Linked DNA regions of Styela clava. The protein of the gene in region 2 purifies or fractionates together with the protein of the main gene of each other region. This does not show direct contact. Links are inferred from orthologs where the notes say so. Each region holds a gene or a part of one and is shown on either strand. Other genes may lie near its edges.

Region 1 (8,863 bases), on a different chromosome or scaffold from region 2:
ATTTTGTTATCAGAGGAGGTATTGAGGACTCAGTAACCTTTATGAAATCACGGGTGCAGCCAGTATTTTCAAAATTGATGACAGGGTATTCAAAATTGACAGTGTTTCCGTCATTACAAAATTCCAGGGTTTGTTATACCCCCGACTGGCAAACCTCCGCTGACTATGCCACTGTAGTCAGATTGCTTATCAAAACACTGAATTGCAAAGCACCTGCTAACAAGCAATCTAATAAATCCAGTAGGTGAATTTGAATTTAATTCGGTTCAGCATTTCTAACCTGTTAGTTCAACTACAGCCTTAATTATTCGCTTATAAAATTATAAGCTATTTAATTTCCTACAGTCCAACTCTTGCTAGAATGTCTAATTCAGTCTTATTTAACTGCTGACCAAAGTACTGTTTGTGCGCTGAACTGTTACAGAATTGTCTAAAATAGTCCAGTAGATATTGCCGCAATTCTAAAGAATTTAACGGATCAGCGAGCACGTCGGGGTCATCCTCGTCTCCTTCAAGATCTTCTGCGGTGAATCCATCGTTCACGGAATCCAATAATTCTGATAAAGTCACTCTGGAGTTACCAGCATCGCCATTGCCAAGCTCATCGATCTCGAAGGCATCTGAATGAAAAACATAAGTGACAGCATAAGTGACATAAAAAATAATTCAAGGTATCATGACTGTATCTTTTAAGGAGATTTCTCAACTCGAAAGTCATGCGCACTCACTTCAAAACAGTGGTTCTCAAACTTTTTTATTTTATTTTTATTTTTAATTAGCTTGTCTACATCCCACCCCCCTTGTGGGGCGCACCCCACCGTTTGAGAACCACTGCTCTACAAGGAACAGTTTGAGGATTGACAATGAGTCTATCACATATTGTAGTCTGACCTAGGCAATTATTCGAAGCCAGTAAACACAGATTTTTTAACAAAGCAAGTCCACGCACACATATATGAAAAAAGAGAAAAAATTCTTTTATGACTGAAATTACAGTTGGTCACTGGAGTGCCAAGCGCTACTGAAACTATAAAAAATTATGGTGATGCATGATGCTCACAAAATACTCAATCCCTAGGTAGCGCTAGACAAAAATTTACTATCAAATACCTTCGTCATCTTCATCCTCCCATCCATCATCATCATTCCCGTTTCCAACTCCCGTCTCTGTAGCTTCTCCAAGATCTATTGCATGACCTAACTCGGCAATAAGAATTTTTAATAATTTCAATGGCAGAGGTATAGACGTCCATTTTTCTGGTTCTTTTTTAGCTCGAGATCTCGTCCTAACTGTTGGGGTGTCAGTGAATATTTGATCTCCTTTAACCATAATTTCATTCATGCGAGTGTCATTCGTCGCTACTACGTGTTTGAAAAGTTCTGCTAAAGCTAAAATGCAAACTTTTGTGTCATAATGTCCGTAGAAAAGATTCTGTTTATCGCACCATTCAGTCATTACAAACTCAAGAGCTGTATTGCCTTTCGGGCCTGGAACTTTCGATAAAAACTCGAGTGTCGGAACAAGTTCATGCTTGAATAAATACGCAAAAATTATTAATAATGACTGCGTAACAGTAAGGGTTTTTGCTTGCTGAAGTTTACTGAGAACGGCACGAAGTAGCTGGTCTAGAACTTCTTGTAACTGTGACCCACATTCTCGTATCATGACTCCGACCAAACGACCAACAAATGCAGCAGAATGTTCAGATAGCTGAGGATCTAAGAGATGAGAAGCGACACGCAAAACGTAATGCCAGCCTGAGATGCCTTCTTGGTCTGTCCAGGAGATAACTTGACTCGGTGAGCGAGAAACAAAAGCTCTAATGCAGTCACCGCCATTTTGAATCACAGAATTATCATCCGAACTTGTAACAGAATTCACAACTACTGGAAACAAATTTTTAACAAGTAAATCTGAAAATGGGGGATCCGTGTTACGAATGATAACAGTTAATAATTCCAGTGATATCCCGACCAAATTTGCTGATATTTTAGCCGGCGGTCCGGTGAAAATATTCGCCAATGCGGGTGCGATGTGATCCACGAGGCTGCCGTTACATTTCTTATTGGCCGAGAGAACTTCAAGGACATCAGAACACAAAGACACGATAAATGGATCATTATTGTGACGTAAAAATTGATTGAAAGTTAGTGACGTAATTTGGGGCTCGTATTTAGCCGTAACATCATCATTAACTTTGAGAACAATTCCGATAGCTTCTAAAACTAGAGCTAAAGTTTCAACACTCGCTTGCATTGCAAGTTGGACTAATCCTTCCAAGAGGCTTGCACAATAGGGACTGAGTTTCTCTGTTTGGCCAATCTGCTCCAAATGATCGCAATAATTGCAAGCGGCTCGGACTGCTGAAATCCTAATAGATGGGGGTTGGTTGTCTTTTAACCCATGGACTGTGTATTCAAGAAATTGAGTTAGCATATCTGGTTGCAGCATACAAGTAAATCGGCTTGCAACCCATATAGCACGTCCTACAAGGAAAGGGAACTCAGAAGCTTTTATACTGGGCAGCACGATGCTAGTAATAAATAAATTGACATCAAAATTTGCATTTCCTGCCTCAATTGTTCGTGACACAAGAGATTCCACAGATCCCAATGCAAGCATTAATGCCTCGTAAGATTTCCACCAGCAAGGATGACTCGAAATTCGAGCTTCGTTAGCGAGACGTACATGACGATCCACAGCTTTTATCAAATTTATTGCACTCTCGCTTTGAAACTCTCTACAGCAGGTAAGAAACAAATCTTGAGCAGAAATACGGACGCTGTATGAAAACGTTTCATCATCTTCGTCTTGAACAAATTGGTCAGGGTTTTCAGACCAAATAGAAATCTGTTCTTCTGTAACTTGCATGTATAATATTAAATGATAGATTAAATCTTCGAGAGATTGCTTTACAATTCCACGACAAGACTTCAATTCTAACATACATTCGATGAATTCAAACGTACAGTATACTAAGCTTTCAAAACCTGTTCCTTCACCGTCCGAGTCCACAGCATCGTCATGGCCTTCTACAGACATTACTTCCTTTTTCACATACATTTCAGCACAATTTGTGAATGTCCCCCACACAGCAGGCAATATTTCTGCTATCACATGTTTTATCTCCTTTTCAAAGCCACGAAGCAAAATCGTGAGAGTTTTCATCACTTCTTTCTTTAATCCTGGATCAGAAACCTCACTGTTAGAGATCTTGAGGACTTTTACATAAGCTTGTAAAAAGTTTGGCAGAAATTGACTAACGTTAACACGTAGTGGGTCCTTAGCATTTCCAATTTCACTTGCAAACGAGGCGCATGTGTTAAAAATTGAAACCGCACGACTTCGTACTCTTATGTTGTATAAATCAGTCTCTGTAAATATTTTATAAATTTGTGGCAATAAAACTGGGACAACTGAATTCATATGAGTGTCTGTTACGTCTCGGATAAATTCAGTCAGAACCCGCATCGCACCATGCACTGCATTAGGGTCTTGTGAGGTTAAAGCTTGCATTAATGATTCGAATAATCCAGGCCAGTTCTCAGGCCAATCCCAACCAGCAATAGCAGAAATAGCATATGCAATTGACGTCCTGATTTTCCTCTGCGGATCAGCAAGTCCAATTGGCAACATCTGTCGAATTGCAATCTTTGCGTTTTCACTTGCTTCCGGCGGAGAAAATTTCTCAGAAATAGAACTCCAATGAGTGTCGACATATTGTTTCAATATAAGCGACGCTAACTGTCGTAATGACAAATCAAAGCTTTGATCGACTGTTATTTTCGCAAGATGAACGCAAAAATCTTCTGTTACTTCTAATATTTTGATTTCCTGTTCCGCGGCTCGACGAATATTAGGATCAGGGTTCATTGTTGCTGACAACGTCGATAAGATTTGTTCCGCCATGTTTTTATCGGACTGTGCCATGATGAAGATATATCGAATTCAGAAGAATTGAGACACATATATACAGTGTTATACTAATATATATAAATTGATTTTCATTTAGCACCTATAACATTGCTTTCTAAAAAATAATTGTAAGAATTATATTCTAGTAATTAGTAACCAAGCTCTGAAGTTCCAAAGTCATCAAGCTAATACTGGTACCGGTAGCAGGGTGGCATCAAAATATTTTTTCATCTCCGAGGGGTGTTTAGAGGGTGGTTATAGCGCTTTTATTCTGGACCACACTCTTATTACGGTACTTGGTATTATACACAAATGCCTATCGTATAACTGTATAATAAATACTGAAATGCTGAAGTTTCATCATTTGGAAATATTACAAAGAAAATGCTGATAATTTCTAATCATAGTTTAAAGCAATATCTGGCTTTTACAAATTTGGCTTTCTGGCTTTTACAAATTTGGTGTTTTTGGTTTAACCGGGAAGTTGGACTGAGTGAATGCAAGTGCTGAGGTGACATCTGAACTCATTAATTAGACTCAAGATTTATACGAACTCTGACTCGAAATGGCGACTGGAGTGTTTATGAACTTGTAGTCTACTGTCTGACTGTCATTACAAACCATTAACAACTGCTATTACCGGTACCGAATGTACAGAATGTAAGGCTGTAAGGGGCGCAAGCCCGCAGTGCTACCGGCAGACCGGCTGGACCGGTATAAGTAATGCAGTTACAGAGTTAAGCTTAAGATAACGAACGTCCCATCCTGTCACATATTGTTTAAGATGCTAACTAATTGCTCGAGTCACAGGATAAAAACGCACTCGAAGGCAACTGTTATGCTGAAAATCAATTCATAAATCCATATCAAACTCCCTAAAATCAGCGTTAACGACGACCGCGAGAATGGCGCGAATATGTAGTGGTGTTTCATTTACCATTCCTGAGGTCAGAGGTTAAAAGGATAGGATAGGATTTACATATTTATCCCGGGGGAGAGGAAAGCCGATAAGACAGCTTGATCATATGGCGAACCACGGCCTCTCGCCCGGTTACCAGTCCAGGTCGGGTATGGGATTCGTTAGCCAGTTATTTTTGTTTTCGGAAGCATGGACTTGATGGTGGAGGAACCGACCAGCGGTTACGTGAACCACCCTACGGCGGCGAGTAGTTCAGCAATCTTCTCGCACATGATCATCCCCGCATGGGATTCGAACCTGCGAAGCCACGAAGGGTAATCAGAGATGCGGTGGCGAGCGTATTTCTAAGGCTTAGCACGATGCGCCACACCACCGAGCCACAACAATTTGTACGAGCCTTCATTGATATTATTTTAAAAAGACCAAAATTTTTTTGGGTCGACATTACCTACCTAATATCACAGCCTATAGATAAAATTTGAATCAAGGATCATCGATGTTCTATGGAAGCATGGTCACGTCAAACGCTCAAATAACCGGTCGCCATGTTATTTATCGTCAAGTTCGACGCATTACGGCATCGTCCAATGGACCTTTCCCCGAGCATCGACTTCCTTGTTTACTTCGTGACATTGGCCAATCAGCAAGATGCAAAACGTGACGTAACAATGCCACCTTTCGCATCTGCTTAGACACTTTTCTCACTCAGACAGATTTTCAAGCGTGGTTGTAAACATTACCTCGTTTTTGCGTTTTTGAACTCTATTCGTTAGTTTTCAGTTGTGTTTCGGAAACTTAAATATAAATCAGATAATTCAATGATCACTCTTTCTTCCTAGGAGTTTTAATTTAGATGCAGTAACAAAATTTAGTGTAGAAATAGCTGTGATAGATTAGCCTGAAATTCTTTACCGGTAGTTTTAAAAAAGAGATTGTTGTATGCAATGAATCATAATGATCATTTGAAACATATACCCCATTTTACAGGCGCCAACTCGGAAAAGCACTTTAAAATAGCCCCGAAAATTTTGCAATGGTGAAGTATAGGAAGAATTTTTCGGGGGTCAAAGGTCGGGGAAAGGCCCATCGAATACACTTTTAGAATATTTACAGTGAATTTGTTTTACTTCTCAAGTATTTGAACTCAAACAAGCAACAAAGAGTCAAGTCACTCAAAAATATGAATCAACGTGTACTCCTCTGCCAGGCGATTGATTACGAAATTTGTGCGTAAGCTTCGACTCTTTGTTTTCTTCATTGAAAGAAGCGTTTCGTATCTATCACGGAGTAGAAAACATGAAAAACGGTTTAATCATAAAGGGAACCACGTCCATGCATCAGTAACCAATAACAGATTGACTATAACCATACCTGACATGAACTGGGGATCGGACGAGCAACAGTGGCTAGGGGTGGTTTTTGTGAGGGTTACATATTTATCCCGAGGGAGGGGAGAACCGATAAGAAGGCTCAATGATATGGCTAACCACGGCCTCTCGTCCGGTTACAAGCCTATGTCGGATTAGTTATTTGTTTTCGGAAACATGGACCTGATGGTAGAGCACGCCATAATCGACCAGCGGTTACTTGAACCTCTGAGATAGGATCAAGCAATCTCATCGACTTCTCTATTCCTCGGGATAAATGTGAAATTCCCAACCATAGTGTGTCGTCAGCCCAAAAATGGGGGAAATCGGCAGTCGACCAGCGGTGTCGCAGAGTACACATAAAGGAATCGGATTATTTTTTCGCAAAAACAAAACTCACTGGATATTCGGCAAAGCCAACAGAGTGACCGCAGACCGGAATTGTCACAACTCATAAGTGATTTAAGGTATCAGCAATCTTAATGGTAGTCATTCCGGCGACTGTTACAAAGCGACTCCCTTCGAAAATAGGCCTCTTTGCGCTCGGAAACTGCTCCAAAGTGGGCAAATTGCAATCCACCAGGCAACGGCCTTAAGATAATTGACGTCCTCGAACATTTCACGAGTGCAATAATAATTCCACATTTGAACAACACACACATATTCCAAATATTTAGCATACATGGCCCTATATATAGAATCTAATAGGCCACTTCCTAAATTCAAAACGCAGTAGCTACAAAATGGTTGTATTTTTATTATTTCTGGCATACAAATGATGATCATGCAAAACACACTGATGACATTGTTGAACAATGGAACAGTAAACACACACTGTGACATCACATAGACTCCCTGGGACTACACAATTTGTTAAATCAGTGAGGGTGATCTGGTCTTCTTTGTCTAAAAGTAAAAATATACATTATTCTGAAATAAAAAGTGCAAAAGAATGGCATGGTTGAATAATGAAAAGGGGTCTTATTTCACCGAAAACACTCACAACATATTTCCTTAAACCTTGAAAATAGCTTCACATAAATCAATTTTGAGTGTTTCACATCAACTAGACATATACATATAGAACGGAATTAGGAGAGGGAATTCGAACATCTTGAAATTTTGAATATTTTATTTTATAAGAAAATGATTCTTATATCCTTAATTTTAATCAAGAAAAGTTAAAAGAAATATAATTTTTCTGCAAAAAAAGCACAATATTTTGAAAAAAAAATTGTAATTACTGAATTCATGGAAACTTTTATTTTTTGAACGTTTCAGCTTGGTTTCTAGTGTTTTTTGATGGTTTTTCACTGTTTTTGAATGTTTTAGCAAGGCTCTAGGGTTTTTTTGGCGTTTTTTTTACTGTTTTTTAACGTTTTAGCATGGTTTCTAGTGTTTTTCAAAAACTTCATTTTTCTAGCAGCATTACTTTTGAATATCTTAAATTTAACGAAGTGAATTTTTAAACAACAAAAATTTTTTCCATAATTTTTATTCTAATTCGAGTCACAAGGACACTAACACCCCCCACGATGAGAAAAAGCCAGAAGCAACCACCTATGGTCAAGACACAGCTCATTTATTTCTTCCTTCCATCGCTTTTGCTTTTTATACCTATCACATAACTTAATAATAATAATTCATCTCAAACAAATTACCTCGGAGCAGCCCTTATGATGTCATCAACTCTGAGAATCATTTCTGCGGCCTCCGAAGCGCTCATCAGCACTTGTCGTTTCACTTGGAAGGATTCAGTGATGCCAAGTTCTTTCATGTCACCAACAGTTCCCTGGTTCATGTCTGGAATGGAACAGTAATGTCAAAAACAAGGAGTAAATAGTATTTTGATAATAAAGTTCGCTATTGAAATCTGAATGCAATAATATTTTGCAGGAGTACTTCAACTGAAGTGTAATAGATGACCAATATGTCCCCCCCCCCCCCCTTTGAAAATTTTGGAAGATTGAAATAGTCACCAATAATGCATGCGCTTGCATTCTACCGAAACAAAAATGATGTTATGCTATATTACATTATACATCGAAAAAGTTGCCCTTTCTAACGGACCCGAAATCATGACGACTATATTAGAAGAAAATGGGGATTTCTGATTTTGAAACCCCCCCCCTTTTTTTTGGAAATTCCTGGTTTAGATTATACTCTACTCCGTTAGTATGAACCAAAGATCTAAGTGTGTAAACCTTTCAAACTTCTATCATCTCTGCGCTCATTTTGCATTCAGCAGATGTCTTACAACCTTGCTTTGGGCCAACTTCAACAAACTACGATAACAGATCAATTGGCAGCAAATTTTGAAACAAATATCGGAGATATCAGATACAAATTGGCATTTGTAAATTCATGGAAGATATAAAATGATTAAAATTCCAGAACGTTTTTAAAATATATTCAGTGCAACAACAATTTGGTTTAGGATTCATATTTATAAATGTATTTTTTGAAAATGGCAGCTCTTTGCAGTTTTAATATCAGATTTTATGGACAAGTGGGCCAAGCTTTTATCTGCAACCGTAGACAACCCATGATATCTCGGCTTGGATAGGCTCTGCGTTGTGGCGCAACGTGCTGGGTGTTCGAAACATGCTCGACACCGCTCTTCTTATTACCCTGCATGGGTTCACAAGTCCCATGCGAGGA
Region 2 (9,672 bases):
AAATAATCCCATACCCGACATGAACTGGTAAACGGACGATACGCCGTGGTTTGTCATATGCTTAAGCCGTCTTATCGGGTTTCCTCTCCCCGGGATTAATATGTAGCCAAACCTATTCTATCCTAATTTAAACGATTTTTTATTCCACCCCCTGGCATATAGCTCTACAGCCCTATGATTTTACGGGTCGAAATACCCCCTCCCCCCACTTTTGAAATCATTTTTCTTTATCATAGATAGCAATTTTCCGTAGCTTGGAATGCTTTTTAGACCCCCAGGACTACTAAAAACTAGGGCTGGGCATTTTGAATCGAATATTCGAATCGAATAGTAAATTATTCGAATCGGTTCAGAACGAAATTTCGAATCGCCGCCATCTTGTTTTTTTCCTTTCTGCCAATTATCGAGATAAATTTCTCAATTTTTTTTTTATTGGAGCCATATTTTTTCAACGGAATCCTGACATGAGACTCTTTTCTGTAGTGAGTTATTGACGAAAACGTGTTTTTTCATGGTGTGTGAACACTCAGCAATCTGTCTGAGTGATGTTTCCAGTAATTTATGTGTCTGGAACACCCAATACAATAGGAAAGTTACATACAATTATATATATCCCAAGTATTTGAGATTCGATTCGAAAAAAATATTCGATTCGATTCTGAAATCATCAGGTATTCGAAAATGCCCTGCCCTACTAAAAACACGCGTATTCCAGCGTTCGATCGGATCCGCTAGCAGTTTCGATGTAACTTGGTAAAAAAATTCAGAACCCCCCCATTTGGCTACGCCCCTGCTATAGACATAAACAAACTGGTAAACCACACGTCTTACGGCCTGATAGAATAGGTATTTATTTCAAAAGCATGAAATACCAAAAGAGCCAGATGAACAATCACAAAACACAAAAAAAGTTGTTTGGATCTAAATTAGAGTAAGACTAAATGGTTTAAAAAGTGAATAGTTTGTCGCAGTTATACACAAATAATAACACTTGACGTTACAATTCAGTCATAATTTAGACGGAGACAAACGAGAGAAAACTTCTCTCTCCTTTAACATTGTTAATATAGAGGACTTGCACTGGTCACGTGACTTTGTTTACTGGACGGCAAAAAAAAACAACGTCCATTTGGCTCCTGTCAATTGCAAGTCGGATTATAAGTTTCCGTTTTGTTTGGCTGTTGAAAATGGTTATTTCGTATTGTTCCGTTGGCTGTACGTATAGTATAGACCAGTGATCCCCAAAGTGGGCGATATCGCCCCACGGTGGGCGATAACGCTACAGAGGGGGGCGAAAAAGCCGAAGGGGCGATTTCTAGAAACCTGTCTTTGTTCGTCGCATCGTGCACTTGATTACTGTACTCTGCGTGCTTTCGTGTGTTTGAATCACGTAGGCGATTATCACACGCGAAAGGATTGCTGGACTCGTCTACGCAGTAAGATACGGTCGTTTCGGTATCCCAGTGGTCGCCAAAATACGGCAGCCGAAGTAAATCTGTTTTTTGAAAGTACCAGTCAAGAATTTTAGCCTAGTCTATCAAAGATATTTCTACACCAAATTTTTGCCTACTGTAAATAAACTGAAACTTCTGGGGAGACAAAGTGATCATTGGCTTATTTTATTTATATTTCCGAAAAACAACTAAAAACTAACGAATATAATTCATAAACGACAAAATGAGTTAATTTTCACGACCACGCCTGAAAATCTGTCTGAGTGAGAAATGTGTCAGAGCGGATGCAAAAAGGGGCATTGTTACGTTTATTTTTGCATCTTTCTGAATGGCCAATGTCACGAAGTAAACAAGGAAGTCTATGCCCGGGGAAACATCCAAACGGCGGTTTTGGCGATGAATTAATTTTATTTACAATCTACGCTCGAGGAGTAAATTACATTTTTTTTATATAACAGAATCTATCGTGAGGCACGTTTAGACAAAATTTTATTATATCCTCAAAATTTTATTAAACAGCTTCTCGTTTAACGAGCCTACAATTCAATTATAATTAGATAATAGGAAACACGCAGAAAAGTTGATGCTGAGTGCAGGGGTTCAATTGCGCAGTAAATATTAGAGTATATTGCAATGCAATAAGAAATAATATTCATATTCTATTTGAGGGATTCATCACTGCTTAATTTTTGTAAGAGTGTATCTTCTTAAAGAAAATCTGTATCAAAATTTGACAAACCATGCGATAACATTCATTTCGATGTTTGGAAGTACATATGTGTGCGAACAATTATTTTCGAAAACGAACATTACAAAGAACAAGCTAGAACTAGGATTAGTGATGCCCATTTAGAAAATCTTCCAATCTTGGCGTCGTAAAGCTATCAAGCGTGATGCAGCAACAAGACAGTGTCACATTAAATGTCATTGTAATAATTTTTTAATAAGACGACTGAGTTGAGTTCACGAATTGTCGCGGTTTTTGCCCGATGTTCCGTTTTTTAACTTCAAAAAATATATGCGACCCGCAAAAGATTAGCAATCCTAAATGAAAAATGGGGTGAATTTAGAGAGTTAAATGCTATAAAGCAAGAGTACATGGCGTTTTTTTGAGGAGGTAGAACCCTAGATTCTTTCATTTCCGACCGCTAATATGATGAGGGGTTTTCAGCTGTGCTACTATTGCTATCAAAACAACGAAATCGCCTTTCCATCAGTAAACAGGGTAATTTTAGATATTATAAAAAACTCGCTGAAGAACACCAAGCTCATCCATCTCATTAAAAAATACTATAAACTATGATTTGTCTCGTTATTCGGTCTGTAATATTTTCGTTCCAGACTTTACATTTTTTTCACAGTGGTGGGGGGGGGGGGGGGGTATGGGGGGTCGATGGACTTGTATGTATGTATGCGATGTATAAACTACTGTTTGGGGGCGACGATACAAAAAGTTTGGGAACCACTGGTATTGACAACGAAATGGATCTTCAGTTATATTCCAGTGTTTTCAAAAGATCCGGAACGTCGCGCAATGTGGATATCATCTATTGGCAGGACTGCTTGGTGTCAAGTCCAGAAGTCATCTCGCTTGTGTTTCACTGTTTACGGACAGCACTTCGTTGATGGTGAGTGATAATGTACTGTTATCAATTTCTTTAAATATTCATAAACTCCTTCACTCCAGTGGAAAGCAGATGACAAACTACTGTTATTGGTAGGCCTAGGCGTAGACTTGCCTTGTGTGAGGAATTAATCATCAATTGCCATAAGGCAGTGTTTCCCAACCCTGAGCGTTTGAATGAGTCCGCATCGACCGAGAAATTTAGCCACGTTGCGATTTACGCTAGAATTTACATAAAACATCAAAAGCAAGTTTAGTAACATAACATCAATCGAGTCAATAATTATTGGTTACTGAGTATATCTGGGCATATATTCGAATATTCAACTATTAGAATAGCAATTTACTATTCGAAAATTTGGTAACTGGTGACGCGATAGGTCACTTGCGCTCAATCTGACGATTGGATTTTACGGTGACCGTGCATTTGAACCCACGTACATTTAAACCCATGTGTATATCTGCGGGTTAAGTCTATATGCGAGTTCTAAAACCCATGGATTCAAATATCCGTAAAACAAAAACAAAATTTCCATAGGTGCAATAGTATGCAGGTGCATATGTCGTGGGTTCAAATGTACGTGGTTTTAAATGTAATGGAACCGGATTTCACAACTCACTTGCGGATTTCCGACGAAAACACGAATCTGCACACGCTTCGATAAATACCTAAGTGGTGTTTCTTGCGAGTTCTCACAACGAGGAATATTTTTTTTTCTGGTTGGTGTCAATGGTGGCAACCCAAATTTTCTAAATAGAAAAGCGGCAATACAAAATACCAAAAATAAAACGAAGAACACCATAATTTTTGTTTTATGATGGTCCGCGCCCGATTAAAAACGCTTTTTAGACATTGCAAATCGCGAAATTTTGGATGCTACCGTACCAGGGCATTTTCCCTTAGGATTCTTTGCTTTACTGCCTCTACATTGGTACGTACAGTACTGCCGTAGGTGTTGTACGAACAGCTCAGATTTGACGAATTCACAAAAATACGAATCAAAACAAAATATAATTGGGTACTTTACCACGCATTTTAGTGTTCACGGATTGTCATCATATTTTCTGAGTACTATTGCTTTTATTTCGTCAACACAACCGCAGATTAAAATGACCACAATAAAATTAATAATAAACCATGGCGATGAACATGTATTTTTGATTTACTAATATACTTCAAATAAATTTTTAAGAAGTACTAAATCAAGTTGTACTTTCTAAAAATTTATAGCAGATAGTAGGATTTTTCTAACGGCGATAACGAACTCGCAAGATCGCAAGAAATATGCTTCAAAACTAAGTATAATCGGACAATATATTCTCACATTATTATGTTCACAGATTGCAATTGAATTTTAGAGAAGTAATGCTTTCATCTTGTCGTAATTTAACGCAACCGCGAATTATCATGAACACAATTAAGTTAAAATAGGAATTCATCTTAAATTCTCGCCGTTGTCATGTATTGAATATTGTGCGAAAGAAAAGGTCATTGTTGAAATTCGTTAAATTTTTGTTGTGTTCGGTTTCAATGCCTGTTCACACATAGTATACGGTTGCAATAAACTCACAGTGAGTCGGCAAAGGGTTTTGCCGGTGAGAAAATAGTCCGCGACCAAAAAAGGTTGGGAAACACTGCCATAAGTTATTGTTTCCCTAGTTAGCAGGTAATCTATTAGTAAGTGTTAATAGTTGAATAAATAACTAAAGTTTAACGGCAGTGCTTATGCAAAAATACCCAAAAATCAATTGAATTCGCCATCTAGGAATACGCTCACAACCGCATCTTTGATCACCCTGGTAATTTCACAGGTTCCAATCCCATGCGGGGATGGTTATGTGCAATGAGGATTGCAGCTCTCCTCCCAATGAGGGTGGTTCACACGACCGCTGGTCGATTACGACATCCTTCACCATCAAGTCCATGCTTCTGAAAACAAATAACTGGCTAACTAATCCCGACATACAATGGTAATCGTACGATGTTGCACCTTGCAATCCTCCCCATGATTGTCTGATTGTTTCGTTAATTAGCAGGTAAACTATTACTGATCTGATACACTAACTTGACACTGTCAAATGATGATTAGTGTTTAATTTCTTTTCAAGAAAAAGGAAAGATAACCCATTATCAGCTGCTTATGTCCCATCAATATTTGAATTTTCGCCATCTCCAGAGAGAAAAAGAATAGCTAGAAAAGGGGGATTTTAAAGAAAGGAAAAAGGCAGGACCATTTCAACAAATTTGTTAACTTGTATGCGTTGCAATATCACTTTGCAGTTGTTAGCATAAACATTTAATGTGTCTTTCGACTAGACCTACCACACTTCAAAAAAGCCGCCTATACCCATTTTCACTGGAACAATAACACTGTAAAATATTTTATCATCATCATATCTTCCATTTGAAAGGAATTCCAATATACGTACAGCCAACGGAACAATACGAAATAACCAATTTCAACACCTAAACAAAACGAAACGTATAATCCGACTTACAACTGACAGGAGCCAAATGGACGTTTTTGTTTTTATGCCGACCAGTAAACAAAGTCACGTGACCCGTGCAAGTCCTCTCTATTCAAGTCCATGCATATTGAACGAAAAACTGACTAATTAAACCCATATCCTACATGGACTGATGACTGGACGAGGGGCCGTGGTTCGCTCTATGATTGAGCCGTTTTACCGGCTCTTCCTCACCCCGGGATAAATATGAAAAATCTCCAAATATGAAACATACACTATTCCGGGTAGCGGGCGAGTTATTTGGGTCACGGTTAAATGAATTTTGAAAAACACCTAGCGCCCACATGTGGCCAATTTTAATTTCGTTCCCTGGCGAGCTTTTCTTTCTTCGTTCTTCTGTGTTAGTGACTTTGTGTTTTCTTACCAGTTCTTGAAGTAAAATATTGAAGAAATAATCCCAGAAGACATTTACGCGAAATAACAAGCTGCGGGAGGGTGGTGAGTTTATAATTTATTTTTGTTGTGTAGAAATGATTTACGTCCGGCCGTGAAAGTAGGTACCGGTATATCGTATTGTTGTAACGACACGGTACCGGTACCGCCACCGGTAGGCCACTGTCTGACTGTATTCAGCCATTATTACGGTACCAAGAAATAAGTGTTTGGGTTGGTGGATAATTGAGATTTCAAGGTATTTTACAAGTTTAGATTAGGATAACTCACTAGTCTGTTAGTTTACTCTGAATTCAGAAATTTTGTTTGTGATTGTCTGCTTTCATACCGGTACCGTACTTTTTTAAGGATTCGAGAAGAATGCTTAATTAATTAGAAAATAATTATATTTATGAAATGGTACGATACCGGTACTACAGTTCCATACGATACGACAATAAACCAAACTGTAATACTGTATTACAGCAATAAAATAGTATTCATGTCTGTAGGTATTGAAACCCAGAAACCAGAATCGGAATTTTTTTGATTTGTCAGAATTTCAAGGTTCAGGACTTGAAATGATGATCTCACAGAAACATGACCGAGCATTCTCAACAGAAGATTTATATTTACATACAATTCCATATTGAAACATATGTTTAATATTGACTTTCCCGAATTTAAACTCAGAATTATTCTTAAACTTCGAATCTATAATCAAAAAAGTTCAAAATTTTTTCAATCCGGATTCTGTAGTTAGATTCATATTTGAAATGGCTCAGAATCTGACTCATTTTCTTTCCAACTCCACAGCCAAGTTTGAAAAGTTTTCTAAAAATACAAAAGCCCAAAAAGTTATTACATTCGCGTATCTTTTGTTTCTCTGTTTCTTGTTTTAGCCACATTTAACCAGCTTTATGTTTCTGTAATTTTTTCTTGTATTTGTACTGGTGGGCGGGCACATTATATTTCTCATGTTTTAATTAAACCCTTTTTAAAAGTTTTGCTCGCTCACCGAAATTCCTCCGTTTTTAATTTGTGTGTATTATGGAGTTTTCAAAATAAATTATCTGAAATCTGTTGTTTAGTATCATACATGTAATGTATTTTTCAGAATATCGATGGCTTGCGGGGCGACTTTAAAAAGAAGTTTGGACTTTGATCCTTTGCACACTGTGGTATCAACCTCCCCAAGTCATGCCCCAATTGTTGCAAGAACACCACCTAGCAAGCGTCGTCGATTATCTCCTCGTTGCGGATCAGTTTTCTCGAACGCAGAATGTCGAATGTCATCAGGATCTCCTTCTCAGTCTTCGTCTTCTTTAAATCCGTCTCCGTTCAAGCCAATGCACCCAATTTCGTCAGGTAATATATGACATGTTTATTATATTTTAGTAAGTTTGATACAATTACTCTGTACAGCGAGTCGTCGACTTACGACGTTGTTCCATTCTTGAGACGCAGTGTAACCCGAATTTCAGTTTAAGTCGGAACATTATAGCCTACATAAATTACTCTATACATAATGTACTGTATTGTAAAGTATGGTACAGTAATAAAATGTACAAATAATGCAAAAAGTACGATGTAAATGACGAAAACCAATGAGCCCAAAGCACTGATTTTCTTGATCATAATGATCCAGTTTAAGGGCTTTGATATTACAGTACAGTATTACCTTTTATATTTTTATGGAGTGCGTCTGTAACCTCGAAACAGCGTTATGGAGTGCGCGTTCGTAACTTCGAAACAGCGTAAGTCGCGTCGCGACTGTCGTAACCCGAGGACTCCCTGTATTTGGATAACACCAACACCAACCCCTTCTATATACAACTCGGGCTGGGGAATTTGAATTTAATGGAAAATTATTTGAATTGGTTTAGACAAAAATTGATAAAACATGTTTGTTATTGTGTGTGAACATTCAGCACCCTGACTGAGTGACGAATTCTATGTTTTCTATGTGTCTAAAGTGGGGACGCACAACTCAAATAAGAATGTGTGCCATAGTTTTCAAAATAATCTTGTGTGTCATTCCAAGTTCGAATAATTGTTGCTGTTGGTATTGTAAACAAACTTAAAACACATATTAATAATAAAAAACTATCAACTCGAACTATTAATATCCTATTGGCGGTATTGAAGGCAATGTATTAAGTTTATTTCAATATAAGGTATATTTAGTTTCTTTATTATAAATAACATGTTACTCTTTACCAAACCGATCATGTGCCACATTCAAAATCATGCCATGCCACATTGGGCACACATGCCCTGCGTTGTGCACCCCTAGTCTGGAGGACCCATTGCATTAATAAAGTCACTTTGTCCCTACACCATTTGTATTAATTTATTTATCTTCCAATTATTTGACATTCGATTTGATTCCGAAATCATCAGGTATATGAAAATGCCCAGCCCTAGTAACAACTTGGGTTCGCAATGCTGAAGCAGAAAGATCCCTATTTTTCCTAGATGTAATAGCTCCTCTCTATATGGAAAAAAACTAATTGAAGACTTGTAATGGATCCCATATCGCTTTATTATTGAGATGTCTTGTTGCTTCTCATCGAAGATTAGAAAAGGAATTGAAATCGGGGATGGACAAATCTGAGTATTTCACTATATACATTCTAAGAAAATGTCTCGAATGTGGAACATCAAATATGTTTTTAATTGGGATCAAGTTTTTTTGAAAGATTACATAACTGTTTTTTTACCAGTTCATCGACCGTTTTGATCTGCCTGTCGGGCAGCTTAGAATCCCCAATTTTTAAATTGAAATGTTCTAAATTATTCCTAAATTCAAAATTTATGATATTGAATATAATAAATTTAGAATGTATTAGAAGATTTAATTCGTATTGGAAATAGTAAACATTCAGTTTTGTCCATTCCTGATTTCAATCAGTTCTTTAATTTTGGATGAGGAGAGACTTCAAATGTTCGATTCGTTAACATCTCAAGTTGAAATACAATTGAACGAAATGATACCTCATTCTTTTTGGTATTAATATAATTTGTCTCAAAATTCTAAGCAGATATATTAGATATCACATTAAAATTTTACATTCAATTTTCAGAGGCGATTTTGAAGAATATATTTGATGAATACAAAAGAATGAAAAGGCGTCGGCAACTACAATTGACACCGGATACTCCATCGGCCTCCGATACTGGAACCCAAAACTTGCAGAATTTCACTCTGGCCCATGCATCTGGTGAGTAGTAAAAAAAGCAAGGTACTCCTGTAGTATGTGAACCAAGATGGCGGACACCGGATTGTAGTATGTGTCCCAGGTTAGGGTTAGGCTATAATTTCAGGTACAAATATTACAGGAGTCACTTGACCAGTCCCCGAACAGTCATATAACATATTAAAAAATTTTTAAACCTAACCAAATATTATAAAAATTTGGTGTAAAATATCAGGCTTTTTGAACTCTATTTTCGAAAATTTGAAGAAAAAAAATTTAAACTAATGGCTTTCTAGCGATGTCTCCCATCTTGTTAAAAGTACTGTATATTTAAAATAACTTGATTCATTAGCCTAGAAAAGCAACAACATGGATATATAACAATAACAATTTAGAAAAACAATTCTTACCATGTTTACCCGAAAATAAGACAGTAATCAAATTTCTTTCGAAAAGTAACCCTAGTGCTTATTTTTGGGGAATGTCCTTTATT

Evidence for each region.
Region 1: the proteins of akirin-2-like (region 2) and importin-9-like purify together in Homo sapiens (affinity purification with mass spectrometry; 3 studies listed by BioGRID and IntAct, counting the BioPlex papers as one, with this or other methods). This does not show direct contact. The link is inferred for Styela clava from reciprocal best matches to the Homo sapiens genes AKIRIN2 and IPO9.

Annotation. Positions count from the first base shown.
Region 1 is NC_135255.1:22,593,189-22,602,051, forward strand, and holds the start of importin-9-like, read right to left. Parts: upstream 4,031-8,863; 5' UTR 3,932-4,030; coding exon 1,111-3,931; intron 621-1,110; coding exon 340-620; 3' UTR 1-339. Other genes in the region: T-complex protein 1 subunit beta-like, read right to left, coding at 7,081-7,108, 7,864-8,005. UniProt on the Homo sapiens protein: Nuclear transport receptor that mediates nuclear import of proteins, such as histones, proteasome and actin. Serves as receptor for nuclear localization signals (NLS) in cargo substrates.
Region 2 is NC_135250.1:29,924,333-29,934,004, reverse strand, and holds the start of akirin-2-like, read left to right. Parts: upstream 1-5,886; 5' UTR 5,887-6,045; intron 6,046-6,216; exon of another isoform or gene 6,217-6,238; intron 6,239-7,096; 5' UTR 7,097-7,103; coding exon 7,104-7,347; intron 7,348-9,065; coding exon 9,066-9,203; intron 9,204-9,672. UniProt on the Homo sapiens protein: Molecular adapter that acts as a bridge between a variety of multiprotein complexes, and which is involved in embryonic development, immunity, myogenesis and brain development.